2 linked regions of the Tamandua tetradactyla genome follow. The protein of the gene in region 2 interacts with the protein of the main gene of each other region in a biochemical or structural test. Links are inferred from orthologs where the notes say so. Each region holds a gene or a part of one and is shown on either strand. Other genes may lie near its edges.

What was found. The genes of interacting proteins can lie anywhere in the genome.
Region 1: the proteins of CRK (region 2) and RAPGEF1 form a complex in vitro, tested with the Homo sapiens proteins (4 studies listed by BioGRID, with this or other methods). The link is inferred for Tamandua tetradactyla from reciprocal best matches to the Homo sapiens genes CRK and RAPGEF1.

Annotation. Positions count from the first base shown.
Region 1 is NC_135328.1:54,750,648-54,758,377, reverse strand, and holds the start of RAPGEF1 (rap guanine nucleotide exchange factor 1), read left to right. Parts: upstream 1-4,647; 5' UTR 4,648-4,677; coding exon 4,678-4,738; intron 4,739-7,730. UniProt on the Homo sapiens protein: Guanine nucleotide-releasing protein that binds to SH3 domain of CRK and GRB2/ASH. Transduces signals from CRK to activate RAS. Involved in cell branching and adhesion mediated by BCAR1-CRK-RAPGEF1 signaling and activation of RAP1.
Region 2 is NC_135332.1:55,230,160-55,238,198, reverse strand, and holds the start of CRK (adapter molecule crk), read left to right. Parts: upstream 1-5,030; 5' UTR 5,031-5,172; coding exon 5,173-5,413; intron 5,414-8,039. UniProt on the Homo sapiens protein: Involved in cell branching and adhesion mediated by BCAR1-CRK-RAPGEF1 signaling and activation of RAP1.

The DNA of each region.
Region 1 (7,730 bases), on a different chromosome or scaffold from region 2:
GGTTGTTATGTGTGTGGACTCCTGCAAATGGTTTCCTGGTCCTTCAACCCCTGATGAGGCACGCTGCACTTCTTGCTCTTGTGTTTAGGGCATAAGACCCTGTGTTTTCAATAAATTCCCCCCTTTTCCAAGCCATTGTTGAGGTACTTTCTCTAACTTGTGGCCAAATACTCCCTGACCTAGACCCCAACTCCCAGGATTACTGTGAGGGTTGAAAACAGTGGTGAGCAGACGCCAGCCATAGGCAGACCTCATGACGGTCAGCCTCCATTATCATTACCACCAGTATTGATGGACTTCACTTTCTCTTCTGATCTGCAGTAAAAGGTTAATGAAACAATCATCTCTGTCCTTAGAAAATGGACAGTGAGTCGGGATGCTGAGGCAGGCACGTGCAAACTGATAGCCAACAACACACGCTGAAGTGAGTCCCAGAGCCTGCAGCCTCATTTTTGCCCATTCTCTACCCTTATCTCACTCAGTTCCCATTGTCCTAATAGTTGAATATTGTCTGCAAATGCCAAGAAGAGGTCATGACCCTTTTGAGGAGAGCCTGGTCTAAAGGAGGCTCTCTGCACAGGTTTCTGGTCACCTTGCTGTTTCTTCTCTTGTGGCATCTGGGGAGTTGCTGTAGCAGTCATTTGGCTAGGTCTTTCCCAGAACATTGTGAGAAAGCGTCATAGCAGCCATCATGTATTGACTGAGCTTCTTGTCTGTGCTGGTGTTAGTGATCCAGTAGTACATGAGGCAACATGGTTCCTGCCCAGGTGGAGTATGCAGTCCCCTGGAAGAGGCAGGTACTAAACAGACAACTGCATATGAAATAAGCGAATGTGGAGGCATGTGCTCTGAAGGTGAAGGGCAGGATGTGGTAAGGTTCTCTGTGATGGCAGAGATAGATGTCTGTCATTTTTGCCACATCAGCATCTCTTCTTCTGATATTGCTTTGAGGAACCACCCTTTCCCACTCCCAGGTTGCTGATTCGGTGGCCTTTACCCTCACGGTTTCTTGCAGTAGGTACAATTCCTAGGCCTTCTTGTCTGCAGTAACTGGTTCAGGGTTAGACATGTAACTCTCAAACCAGGCTAAAGTGCATGTGCCAAGGGGCTGTTTTTTGAACTATGAGGAAAGACATACTCATTTTCCACTGGGATTGTCAAGCTGGTTGGTGACAAGCCTAGGTCTGCTGGTGCCCACTTTTGCCACCACGTGGAGAGTGGTCATCTGAGAACAGAGCCAACACAGAGGAATAATGTCATTGTTTTAAGAGTCTAGCTTTAGATGTGTTTGGACCTGACTGTATCCCTGGTTTCCTAGTTATGATATTCAACACATTTCCTTTTTTGCTATAACCAAGCTGATCTGGGTTTTCTGACAGTGAAATCAAGGGTCCTGATCAACAGGGAACAGTCTCTCTGGGGAGAGCTGGGGAAGGACTCCTCGGTAGGAGTGACAGTCAAACAGAGAACAGAAGACTAGGAATTAGCTAAATGAAGAGGAGGGGAGAGAACATTCTAGGCAGAAGGAGCAGCATGTGAGAAGGCCCCAAAGAAGGAAGTAAATGGCTTTAGGAATTTGTTTGCTTCATTACCCGGTGTGTGTTCTGTTATAGCTATAAACATGTTTGATGAATAACCTTTATTAAATAAATGCCATGACCCTTATTTACAACAATATCCGTTTGAAAACTGCTCTATCATTTACAAAATCCCTTATCATTTGACATGTCATAATTTATTAAATATATTCAACAATTTAATTTATTCAAGAAACCCTGACTGGCAAGTAGCTAGAGTAATATCAGATAAAATAGATTTTAAATGTATGGCACCATAAGAGACAAGATTTTCAAATGTTATTGCAAAAAACATTTGTATCTTTACATATTCCTGAAATCAAAAACTTGAAAATGTTCAGTAACATAGGTCACTATAGCAAAGCTGATGTTTCTAATAACTGCCTACTTAATATTTTGAGAATGGATAGGTTTTTTCTTTTTTTTGTTTTATTTGTATACAGTTCTGATAGCTAATCAAATGATATTTAAGTTAGCATTTAATATTTAGAATTCAAGAAACTCTAATGTCTGTATCTCCAGATTTTTCCCTGTTTTGCCTTAATTTTAAATTGGTTTATGAAATTTACTGTATAAACATAGGCTATATAATGGTTATATTTTATTTAATATGCCTATGGATAAGCTAACCAAGATATCCATTTTTGGTGGTTAAGATTTTCATACATTAATTATAAAAAGTTTGTATTTTTATGTTTTCCTGAAATCTAAAACTTGAAAATGTTCAGTAACATAGGTCATTACTGTAGCAAGGTTGATATTTGTAACAACTTTTTACTTGATATTTTGAGAATGTTCACAGCTTTGAAAGCTGATCAAATGATATTTAAGTTAGCATTTAATATTTAGAATTTGGGGAACTCTGATATCTGTATTTATAGGTATAGGATAAGATGCTGGACCCAGAATCTTCTTTTACAGTAATAATTTTGAATGTTAATGGACTAAACTCACTAATTAAAAGACACAGATTGACTGAATGGATTAGATAATATGATCTATCCATATGCAATTCACAAGAGATTTATCTTAGACCAAAGGATTCTAACAGATTGAAAGTGAAAAGATGGAAATAGATGTTCTATGTAAGCTGTAACCAGAAGAAAGCACAAGTAGCTATCGTAATATTAGATAAAATAGATATTAAATGTTATGACAGCATAAGAGATAAGATTTCCATATGTTCATTGTAAAAACATTTGTATCTTTATATTTTCTTGAAAACCAAATGCTTAAGAATGTTCAGTAACAAAGGTCATTACTATAGCAGACTTGATGATTCTAATATCTTTCTATTGGTGTTTTGAGAATGTCTATAGTTTTAATAGCTAATCAAATGGTACTTAAGTTAGTGTTTAATATTTAGGATTCAAGAAATGCTAATATCTGTATCTGCAGATTTTCTTCCTGTTCACCTTAATTTTAAATTGGTTATGAAACTTACTGTACAAATACAGGCTTTACAATGATTATATTTTACCAAAAATGCCAAAAAATAAAATGTACCCTTCAGTTGCAAAAAAAAAAGTATAAGGACACAGAGCCAAACCACTTTGGAAATAAAGTATTGAAAATAATGCAAAAAAAAAAAAAAGAACCCCTGACTGGGCCTCATAATCATTCATTCTAATTTCCTACTTTGCACCTAAGTTTTCAGATTTAAAACATTAGTCCGTCTCAGCTCAGAAGCCTAGAAGGGTTAGGGGCAGCACTGCAAGTGGTTGGGGTGGTGGGCCTGTGGCCGAGGCCCTGTTTTGCCTGGTTATGAAGCTGCTGATAGGGTGAAGCAGTGCCACTCTGATTCAGAGCAGCCATTCATCAGCTCAAAAAGAGAAATGAATTTGTCAATCTTTGGCTTTGCTTTTGATCTCTTGAGTGCTAGGAGCTGACCACCTGAACTGACTACTCTGGAAATTTGGCTGCAATCTATGGTCAACTCTAAGTGATGGAATTAGTGATGCATCTGAGTGTGAGGGAGACGTGAGACATGGAATTGCTTGCAGTATCAACCATTCTTGCCTAATCCCTGCACCTCCTCAAATCTTGTCCCATCACCACCTTTTGAAACTGTTAATTCACCTTTATCAAGGAATTCTGGAGGGAAAATTAGTTGAGTTGCTTTTTGTTAATTTGTTTTCCATCTTGGGCCAAAAACAGCAAGCAAACAGGAGGCAGGGGATTTTCCCATGTTCGAACATCCCTTGTGTTATTAAAATGTATTGTTACTCAAAACTTGCATTATATGATTTAACTTTGACTAGTCACCTAAGATCTGAAGTATTTGGAGGGAAGAAGCAATTGTACATATTTTGTAGGACCTACAGCACCTAACAGCGCCTAGCCCTATGTAGGTTCTTTGAGTCTTAAATGAATGACTTTTAATGAACTCATCATCATGCTAAAAAGCAATGTTTGAGCTCCTGTGGTCCCCATCCGGAGGTCCAGTGAGCAGGGCAAGCTGGGGTCACTATGTTCCTGATGTGGTTGGACTCAGGCCTTGATCTGGAGACTTCAGCATCTGGGAAAGCCGAACCTCGAGTCGGGAGGGATCAGGCCTAAGCCCGCGACTAGTTCCTGGGGGTAGGGGATACTAAGTCCCGCGTGGAAAGGAGTGAGTCCAGGTTCCAGCAGCGGTTCTGGGTCTGCACGCAGCGCACAGCTCCACTGGGGGAGGGGGCAGTCCCAGACCTTGGCGTGAAGACTCCGGGCCGGCAGGGGGCGATGTGTCTCGGGTGGGAGGGTCAGATCAGTCTCCGGGCCGGCAGAGGGCGTCGGGCTCGTTCCGGTGCGGCGCCGGGGCGGGTGCCCAGTAGGTGGCGCTGTGGCCGCGGGCGAGGCCCGGCGAGCGGGCGGCGGCGCGGCGCTGGGGCCGGGCTCGCAGGCCAGGGAAAAGCGGCGGCGGCGGCGGCGGCGGCGGCGGCGGCTGCAGCTGAGGCGCGAGAGGAGGCGGAGCGGCGGCGGCCCCGGGGGTGCAGGAGCGCGCGATCGCCGAGCTCACAGGCCGTGGCCGCGCGGAACCCGCCATGCCGGCGCGGATCTGAGGCGCGGCGAGCGGCGGCCGTGCCGGCCTGTCGTCCCGCAGCGGCCCGGCCCGGGCCCAATGAGCGGCGGCCTCGGCCTCCGGCGCAGCCCGGAAATGTCTGGCAAGATCGAGAAAGCAGGTGAGGCGGCGGCGCAGAGTCGGCGGCGGCGCTGGGCGCCCGGGCTCTGGTCGTCGCCGTGCCGGAGCGGGGACCCAGCTCAGTTTGTCCCGCGCCGCGGGCCCAGCCCGAGGCCGAGGCGGATCCGAACTGCCCGGCGGCCCGCGTGGGCCCCGCGGCGCCGCCGCCTCGCTCTCCACCGGAGCCGAATTCGGATTTTTACCGGGTTTCGCGTGGTCCCTGTTTTTGCCCTGGGGAGCAGAAGTGAAACTACCGCCGAGGCCTAATTGGGGCGTTTTTCAACTTCACATTCAAAGGCCATTTTTAGCCGGTTGGCTGGTTCCTGCTCTGCTCTATTTTCAGTGTGCACAGACCGCCGCGGGGTAACGGTGCCCGGAAGGGTGAGCGCGAGGGTGGACACAACTGGCGTGACTTCTTTTTTAGTAGCATTTTGAAGGACGGTGGAGGTGGGAGGTTCTCCCTGCAGCCGGGGTCTCTTTTATGTAAGCTGCTTTGCTCTCCTAATGAACTTCCAGAAAAATGGCTTAAACCTAGAGAAGGGGGAAGAGAAACCCCAGCCGCGTGTTTAAGTGGCCCTGAAGCTCTGTGCTCTGCTCTGGGGTTGTCTTTTAGAAGGTGAATAGAGCCGAGCAATAAAATGTGTCCTTTCTAATGACCCTCGAGTTTAAATTTAACTTAAAGTATCCACTTCGGTTGCTTCAAAGTGAACAGGAAGGATGTGTTTTGGCATTTCTTCGGGCTCAGTCAAATTTTCCTCTGGTATCGAGTTTAAGCTTTGCGAGCAGGGCGTGTAGGGCAGCCGGTTGGATTTGGACAGCTTGTAAATCTTGGTGAAAACCCCATCTCTTTGTGTGTTCCTAGAAATCTTGAGGAGTTGCTTTCTGATTACCATTTTGCCTACACTGGGAATAGACTCTCCAAAGATTCAATTACTGTTGTGCATATGGGGCCCAGGGCTTAATTAGCCCTGAGATATACCTTGTGAAGTGAGGTCTTGGGTCTAAGGTAGGCATATGACCCAGGGCTTCTGACTGGGAACAGTGCTGGTTGTCAATACAGGTACCAGGTTAGATTGGAATTCAGATTGGAATCTGAATTATGGGAGGCAGCCTTTTAAGAGGCTGTCCAGAAAGGTTGCTAGCAGTGATTTTGGAAGTTGCTTATGTTTCCCAGATTGAAGAGAGATACTTTTCTGGCATGTACCTCTGGAGTGGATGCAGAACATAGTGTAACCCTTGCAGTCTGTGGTTTAAGCACAGAAAAGGAAGTAGCCTTTATCTAGGGTTTACTGTACATCTTCTGGCTCTGTGTCAGGTGGCCTTACATGTATTGCTTATTAAATCTTTGTAGATCCTCTGTGAGAGGCTCAGAAAGGTTAAAGGAGTTTCTGGAGATCACAGAATAAAAGGGCAATAGGGTTGGCTTTTATGCCTGGCTCCCTGGCACAAAGCTTGGTTGCCTTCTGCAAGGATGGGCAGTTTCAGGTGCAGTTTCTTGAGTGCTTTTTCTCACTGTTCTTCAGACCCAGGGGGCCCAGTGACCATGAGTCGTTTTCCTGCTGACATGCCATTCCAGAGATATCTCGGGTTGATCTGTACACTGTTCTCAGGAACTCCTTGCATACTCTCTGAGAACTGTACTGTTGAGGAAGTTAGATAATTAGCTTTAAATATAACGGGATTTTCTTTGATTATAAGAATAATATTGTCCATTGTCAAAAACTTGAAAATCATGGACAAGTAAAACAAACTAAGTGAAAAGCACCTACACCCTACAAGCTGCGTTCTGCAGCTCAGACTCTTACTGAATGAGATGAATCTTCATTTGAGTTTTCTATTACTGGAGGTGGGAGAACTAAGACATATTTTATTATTATTATTTCAGCATAGGCTATCCTTAGGCCTTCTGTGGGCACTGCTAGGTGCTGGAGTAGATGCAAAATCAGTATGTCCCTGCCTTCAGGGACGTTTGTCTGAGGGTGGGGGAGCTGGACCTAGGCTACTAGGCAGCAGAAGCTGTGCCACAGGTCAGGCCCTGTGGGCACAAGTGAGAGAGGGGTCTGTCAGCTGAGGAAGTTGGGAAGGCTCTGAAATGGACAATATTTGTGCTAAGCTTTAGAGAGGACAGGGTTTCCCTGGGTGGAGGTGGAGATGGGGAGAAAAGGGCAGAGTGGAAGGGGCTGACCAGAGTCTGTGGAAAGCACCAGTGGAAGATGGGTTTGGTGAGAGGTGGCTAAGCAAGAAAGTTCTCAGAGGTTGGCAAGACTAGGGTTGGCACCTCACTTAGGTACTAGAGATCATAGATGTGGCATTAGCTTAGAGGTTAAAAGCGTCCTTTTTTGCACAAGGTATTTTGCTAGAATCCATACACAATTGTCAAGGAAGAGTTAACTTTCTGGTGTTTTTTGTTGATCATTATAGGTGGGCTTTACTTTGCATTTCAAAGAGATTTTCCCGAGGGATTTCTGCTGGGGTTTTCTAAGTGATTCTGATTTTAAGTCATTCAAAGGAAAGGTCCTAAACTGAAATGACTAGCAAGTGGACAATCTCTAGTAAATTGCAGAGCTTGGCCCTCAATAAACAATTGTTGTTATTGGAATTTTGCTATTTTCTTTTAACTTTAAGCAACAGAAATGTTGCTGAAAATGTGTTCATAATTTCTTCTTTCTAATAATAGAAGGATCAGTTATTTTTACTTCTCAGGGTTTAGGGAATTCAAGCTTTTTTTTTTTCGGAGTGAAAAGAAAAGCTTCTTTTTTACGTGGTTTGCAGCACTGAGATTCTTGCCCAGTTCTCCATTCTACCTTTTTTGCTGCCTTTCCTGATATCTCCTTGCTGTGCAGCATTCTCTTTAACCACTGGAGGAGATTTTTTTAGTCTGTCATTGCTACTCTTCAATATATTAAGAGTACATTAATTATTCATTCAGCAATGCCAGGCTGTGAGTGGCGCCTGTTGGAGGGATCATACATACTACCCTCCCCAGAAGGCAT
Region 2 (8,039 bases):
GACAAACACACTGCCCACTCACCTCAGCCCCAACTCAGGGGTGTAGGACCTTTCCTGGCCTCTGACTCCATCCCTGGCCTGGGAGCCTGGGGAAGGGGCTGATCTTGGGAGGAGCTGCAGGGGCATCACTTCTTTCTGCTGCTTCCGCCCAGAGGGCCCGGGGGCTACCCAGCCACCTTTGTGCTCTCCTGGGGGGTCTCAGCCCACTGCTGACACTTCTGTAATCCAGAGAAACACTAAATAAAGCAATATGAATTTGCCGACACTGGTCTTCTTGTGAATATTAGGAAAGGGAGAGGGCCCCTAGGAGGTAACCTGGAGCCTCGTATTGCATTTTTGCCTCGTCCCCAGGACAACTCCTGGGGGGAGTGAGTAGAAGTGACCAATAGCTGTACTATGGACGCGCTCTTTCACTAGCTGCTTACTAAAAGCCTGCTGCCCCTGGCTCACTGCTGTGGGCAGTGGGGAAGGATCCTTCATGCATGGTCCCTGCCCACAGGGTCCTCAGCTGGTCAAGCGGGATGGTGAACAGAAACAGTCCAAGAGGCACACTGATGAGAAGATGACTCCTCAGGTCAGGGTGAGGGGTGATAAACCCCACCCACACTGGCTTGGACAAAACAAGGCATTTATTAGCATTAGCAACCTAATAGTTCTAGGGAAAGCTGCGTCCAAGTGCTCAGTATTGTAGGAATGTGTGTGGAACGATCCCCTGGCTCAGCCCTCTGGTGGCTTCATTCTCAGGCAGGACCTTCCCATATGGTAGGAGCAACAGCCACCAGCAGTTCCAGGCTTTTATTCTACAATGAGCAATGGAGCCCAAAAGAGAAAGAACCCCTCTCCCAATAATTCAGACCCAAATCTCAGCTGATTCTCGGTGGCCCAACTTGGACCAGGTGCCTCCTTCCTGACCCCACCGTTGTAGGGAGAAGAGCACATTCTGGCCAGGCTTGGGTCATGTGCCCCCACCACCCACCCACCCCCAGGCAAAAAGTGACACAAATCACCCACTCAACCACAAGGACCAACAATGGGAGCAAATGACTCCCCCAAAGAAAATCAGCATTATCCCCAGAAAAAAAAGGGAATGAGATCAGCCACATCCAGAGTTCATCAGCAGATGGCTAAGAGTTTTCCTGAGGGAGGTGCATTGGGAGCAGAAGGAATGGTGTGTGCAGGGCTTCCAGGTAAGAAAAGGTTGGTTTGGGGCCAGGCTACCTGCCAGAGGAGTTTAGATTCATCACCTAGGGCAAAAGTTCTCAAGGAACGAGGTACCACGCAGTCTATGGCTATCTGCGGCTTGACTGACAATCCTGTGAATGCACCTGGATTCTGACACCTCCACCAAAAGTTAATCTATGGGGGGGGGGGGGAGTTTATCTATGGAAAATGAAAGGAACACAACTTATCCACTCTATCAGTAGTGACAGTGGCTCCAAGAAGCTGGTAGATAAGATAGGCATTGAGTTAGGTGCCATTCCCAGTTTTATAACTGCAACTACACTCCTTTCTCTAGCAAATTGGAATGTGTTTGAGAGTGACATTGCACATATTATCAGATGTCAGCTAAGGGCATTCTGTCCTTTTGAGCCATAACCCATAATGATTTGCACCCCAGCTCACATCCTGAGAGACATCCAATGCCGTCCAGGAGATATCTACAAATTCTAGGGAGCTAATTCTGGCTCTGGGTAACAGCCTCCACAGGACTCCATTCATTCATCCATTCCTTTCATTCCTCTAATATTTAATAAATGCTTACTTACTATGTGTCAGCTCTCTGTTAGGCACTTGGGATGAAACAGGAGCAAAAAAGACAAAATTTCTTTTGCTCTTGGGCATACATTCAGAGGGGAAGAGATACAATAAATAAAAGAGTAAAATGCGTAATATATTAGAAATGGTAAGTGCTAAGAAAATTAAGTAAAGAAGCGGAGGGGGGTGTTGGGTGTGCAGTTTGCAATTTTAAACAGGCTGTTCAGGGGCAAGAGTGTTCCAGGCTGAAGAAACAAGTGCAAAGCAAGGAGCAGCGTGGGGGGCTTGGTTCCATCCCCCAAAAGGCATTAGTGTAAGTAGCACACTTTCGCAAAGGACAGATGCAATGAGGGGGGTTTACACTGCAGCAAAGCAAACAATTCAAAGTTGAGTAGTTTCCAGCCTTGTTCTCAAAAGCCTTGCAGCCATGTGGCCTCTGGAAACATTTCTCTGACCTTACAAGGAAGGACCAGCCTCCTGTGTGTGTGTTTCCAGCACCCACGATTTCCCCACGCTTCTCGGAGTCTCCTCACATTTCTCCCCAGAATTTTCTCCTAATGCCTGCCTCCAGACCGTGCCTTTGCACTTTTTGAGAGTGGTCCTTGTCTCTGCAAAACTAAGGGCTACCCACTAGGGATGAGATAGCTCTCTTTTTCATAGTCCAGAATCTTTAGCAGACACTTGGAAATCTCCCTGTTTCCTTCCTGTTTCCCTGTTCCCATATGTGAGTGAGAACAGGGCAGAAGTTTATGTTCCCATCTCCCTCCCCACCCATCCCCACTTTCTCTCTCACACACACACAAACTGTCAGTTTTCCCTTTAAACAGCAATTTTTGCCTTCCTGATACAAATAAACTTTTCAGCCTTTTTTTTTTTTTTTTTTTTTTAAGGGGAAAGTAAGTATAAGTCACTCCGCTCCAGTGGGTACCATTTACCCAGTGCCCTGGAAGTGTGCAGCACTTACAACCTGCAGGACTGTAGCTGACAGCTACATCCTCTGGTCACTTCAGAGGATGGAGAGTAGGTAGGCAGATTGTTGCCCTCTGCCCTCCTCTATTTCTAAACTAAGGAGTGCCTTTTGCAGTTCAGGTTTGTGGCTTGGAGAACGGAGGACTTTGGTGTTTTCCTCTCAGATGGGGCAGCTTTTCTTTCTTTTCACCTTTCACATCTCATTCTTTTTCAGGTACCTTCCCACCTACCCCATCTCACCCACCTCCTTGCAGAGATATTCCTCAGCAAGGGTTCACTTTCTTTGTAGGGCAGATCTCAGGCTTATCAGGGGCCAGAAGAGGAGAGGAGGAGGAAGAGAGAAAGGAGGTGGGCGGGTGGGGGAACAGTGGGTTTGCTTACTTCTGGAATTAATTAGTTTTTCCAAAAGCCACTCCTATTTCTACATTATGCCCCCCACCAAATTTGTCAATTCTCTATGCTTCCAGGAAGGACCCACTTGAGTGGCTGCTTGGGGCTGGTTGCCCCTTCTGTCTCTTTGTTTGCTTTTCCAACTCAGTTATGGTTTTTGTTCATTTTTTCCCTTTTCTTCTTTAAAATAAATATATATAGTCATAACCGCGTGCCTCGAGGGGGGTGGGTGGAGGCACGGCTTTAGATCCCCGGAGGCAGTCTTCGAGACAGGTCCTGACCCAAAGACCCTGCTTTCCTGGGGAAATAAAGAGCAGGATCTTCTCATTCCCAAAGAGCTGGAATTCACACTGGGATGGCCTCTGCTGCTAGCACATGGTGACACGCTGTGAGTAAACCAGGGTCACCATGAGTCACACACAGCAGGGAAGATTTCCCTCCCTAATCCTCAAGTAAGCAGACCCAGGAGTGTGTGGAGGGGGTCAGGAAGAGTTGTGTTATTCACAGGTCATAAACCAGGTATGACAGATGTTTTTTTTTAACATAGATTTCTGTCCCTCACCCTTTCCTTACCAAGATTTCCATTCCAGAATTCTAAAAATATAGCAGTGATTGACAGCTCTGGCTCTCCTTTAGGATTTGAATCCTAGTTCCTCACTACAGCAGTTGTGTGACTTTGGACAAGTTGCTTAACCTCTCTGAGCTCCAGGATTTTCATCTGTAAAATGGAGTTAGTTGTAAAATACCTACCCATAAGGTTGTTGCTAGCATTAAATGAGATGATCCACATAAAGACATTTAGCAGGATGTCTGGCAGGTAGGATTCTGAATAAATGGTACCTGTTATTAGGGAATATTTATTGCGTGCCTACTAAGCTAGATGACACAGGCCTGTTAATGAAAATGTATAGTATGAGTAAGAGCTGTAATGGGAGAATATGAACAGTATTTGTTAATAAAGAGAGGAAGTGAATGGGGTGGAAAGAAAAGGGGAGACATTTGAGTTTGAGATTCTGTAAAGGTGGAAGGATCTTCCAGGAACAGAGTTCCGTGTAATGGTAGTTAAGATGAGGCTAAATCCAACTTTCTGCTGTGAGGTAAAACGGGAATTTTAACACTTCAAGGCTGTGTTAAAGGTTTTATGTAAGATAGTAACAGATTCAGATTTTCATTTAAAAAATTCACACTGGCAGCTACTTCCAGGCACAATGTGCAATCAGGGGCAGTAAGACTGAAGACCCTCAGCAAGGAGGGATGCTCACGGGAATACAGAGGACAGATGACCACAGCGACTGGCCTGATATCCTTTACCTTGAATGCCACCTTCCACAGACTGGATAGGGGCCCTGCTCTGTTTTCCTAGAGCCCCCATCATAGCTGTTGTCACTTCTCGTCATTTTGCCTGCTTCCTGGTTCTTCTCACTGGTCAGTGAATTTGGTAAGGGCAGGGCCTAGCCTCGATCACCTCTGCACCCGAGAGCAAGTTCAGTGTCAATAACTGCTGAATGGATCAGTGAAAACAAGAACTTTAGCCGGAAACTAGAAGAACCAGCAGAGAAAGCCAGATTTCTCAGGGAGCCTTGGGACCTGGGGCCACAGCCACCTTTTCTACCTTCCTTCTATGAGCCGCTGTCGAGAAGCCCTGAGTCTTCCAGTAACTTGAAAGCTAAAGGACCGAAGAACCCCCCCGTGGCCAATAGAACAAACACAAATCCCTGCGGACGCCTGACTTAGGCCCCGCCCCTTCCCTCCTAGACTCCGCCTCCTCACCCTCTGCAGTCCAGGTCTGAGCCAGGCGGCGACGCCCATGAGGCCGCATGCGCACTGAGCGTGCGACTTCTCCCTTGCCCTTCTCCCAATGGCGAGCTGCGGTCCCCTTCCCGGCGGCCTCCCTCGGGCAGGGAGTGGCGTCATTTCCGGTGGGGAAGGCCCGCGGCTGCCGCCGCCATTTCGGGCGCTTCTGTGAGGCTGAGACCCGAGCCGGTCCGCTGGGCGGCGGGCGTCGGGGCTGGAGGGGCGCGCGTGGCGGCGGCCCTACGTGTAGGCGCGGAGGCGGCCATGGCAGGCAACTTTGACTCGGAGGAGCGGAGTAGCTGGTACTGGGGACGGCTGAGCCGACAAGAGGCGGTGGCGCTGTTGCAGGGCCAGCGGCACGGGGTGTTCCTGGTGCGGGACTCAAGCACCAGCCCCGGGGACTATGTGCTCAGCGTCTCCGAGAACTCGCGCGTCTCCCACTACATCATCAACAGTAGCGGCCCGCGCCCGCCAGTGCCGCCGTCGCCCGCCCAGCCTCCGCCGGGTGAGGGAAGGATGGGATGGGGTCCCTGGGCGGGGGTTGAGGGCCCCGGAACTCTCCAACCTGGCCGATTGCTCCTTGCACGCTGACCCCACGCGGGTCGTGGGCAGAGGGTGGCATGACTCGTGCAGGGGGCACCCTGTTATCAAGCTCGTTCTCACCGACGAGCGGGAATATGTGGGGGAGGAGGGGCCGCTGACCGAGGCCTCTGGGTGTGCCTTGGGAGGACGGCCCAGGGGAAGGGGAACTGCTTCGGCCCCAGGGTGGGGCTAACGCCGGGCCAGGCTGCAAGGGCAGGGCCGAGCAGTGTGGGGACAAAGGACTGAGGGGGATGTTGTCACTGCGGGGGCATCACTTGGCAGCGGTGCCCAGAATGAATCCGATAATCCTACAAGTGGCTTTTGGGCTTGAAACACTTCCTGCAGTGCTAGAGAGCCGGGTTTGGCCATACTCCCCTGGTGGCCTTTGGTAGGAAGTCACCACATACTGGCCGGGAGGGTTGGAGACACCCTCAGGAAATCAGTCAGCTTTTTCCTTTCTTGGGCATGTTTCCAAAATACGTTTACCGTCCTCTTCCCTTGTGGAGGACGAAGGTGGTGAGCTAAGTGCTTAGGTGATGGAAGAAAGTCCTCTGTGGCCAGTCCAGAAAAAGTAAATGCCTGGCTGACCAAGAGATCTTAGTGGTCAAAAAACTATCCCCCTTGTAATTAAGGGATTCTCGTTTTCAAGGTGTTTAGTGGAGGAAGAATTTCTTAAGAAAATAAACCAGAAATAAGGTACTGAAAACAATCCCTTTCCAGAAAGTGAATGAAACTTCATTTTTCCTTGGACCTGAACATTGCCAGTCTTGTACTTCAGTATGTTTCTTAGCTTAGTAAATTGGGGCTGTGACCTGAGTCTTCATGAAAGCTGGTAACAGGCCCACCTGGGCAGATTCTCTGAGTTTAAATGATCTGCACTGGGTCATTCCCAAGGATTATTGGGATGTGACTTTCCTATTCATGCCATTGGAATTGTTTTGGGACTATTAAGGAGATTTATGCACATAGTACTTCAGAGCTTTGAGATACAGGGTCATTCTGAGAGTATCAGAATCTGTAACCAAAGAGTCCTAATGTCATTTCACTTTCCCCAAGTTGAAGCAATTTCCTCCTGACCAGCTGAGACTAGATCCGGGGTAGTCATACAATTAGGAGGCTTCCCAGCCAGCCTTTGTGCGGTTGTTCTTTTAAGATAGATTTAAGCATTCTGGCCAGAAATGGGGAGATGGGATAGGCAATCTTTTGTTGGTAAGATTGAAAAAAACAAAAGAGTGTGAGGTCTTTAGGTCCACAAGGTCTTTCTCAGAATGCTTGATTTCATAGTGTTATAACATGAGAGGAAATTACTGATGGAGCTTAAATTTGCCTTAAACCATATACATATTCTACTTTTAAGCCATTTGAATGGTTATCTAGGGTTTTGCATCACGTACAGTAGCACTATGGAACGTAATTCTCAACCTTTTGTTTATATATATATATATATATTTTGTTGTTTGCAAAATTAGAAATGGAAGCAGGGTGACTTGTTAGTTTGAGATTTCTCCACTCCTTGGTGTTGTGATTTTATATCTCAGCACTTACTTTGATATAGAGCTCCACCTTTTCAAAACAGTTAAGAATTCAGACCCTCAGCCCAAAAGAGAAGGTAAAGTTGCATAAGTTGGTGGATGGGATGTGGAAGGTTCATGGTTATTATGCTTCTTTCTGCCTTGTACCCCATTTCCATGCAGGACAGTTGATTCGCTGCTGTCTTTATAGAGATTACTTCATCTTTGTTCTCTCCTTCGCCTTTAACCTCTTTTTCTTTTGAAACCGTACTGAGACATTTCTTTAGTTTTAGAGAGGCTGACATTTATTGACTACTTATTCTCTGCCAGGTTTTTTTTTTTTTTAATTTTATTTTTTTAAAACACAATAGCGTACAGACATGAACATTCTTACCATATGATCATTCCATTCTTGGTATATAATCAGTAACTCGTAATATCATCACATAGTTGTATATTCATCACCATAATCATTTCTTAGAACATTTGCACCAATTCAGAAAAAAATAAAAAGAAAAAAACTCATACATGCCATACCCCTTACCCCTCCCTCTCTGACTGCTAATATTTCCACCTACCCAATATATTTTAGCCTTTGTTCTCCTGTTTTATTCTTTACCCCTTGTCACTCCCTTTCATTGATCACTAGCATTTCAATCTACTAAATTTATATTAACATTTGTTCCCCCTATTTATTCATTTTTAACCCATATGTTTTACTCATCTGTCCATACTGTAGATAAAAGGAGCATCAGACACAAGGTTTTCACAATCACACAGTCACATTGTGAAAGCTATATCATTATACAGTCATCTTCAAGAAACATGGCTACTGGAACACAGCTCTACATTTTCAGACACTTCCCTCCAGCCTCTCCAATATATCTTAACTAAAAAGGTGATACCTACTTAATGTGTAAGAATAACCTCCAGGATAACCTCTCGACTCTGTTTGAAATCTCTTAGCCATTGACACTTTGTTTTGTCTTATTTCTCTCTTCCCCCTTTTGGGTTAGAAGATTTTCTCAATCCCTTGAT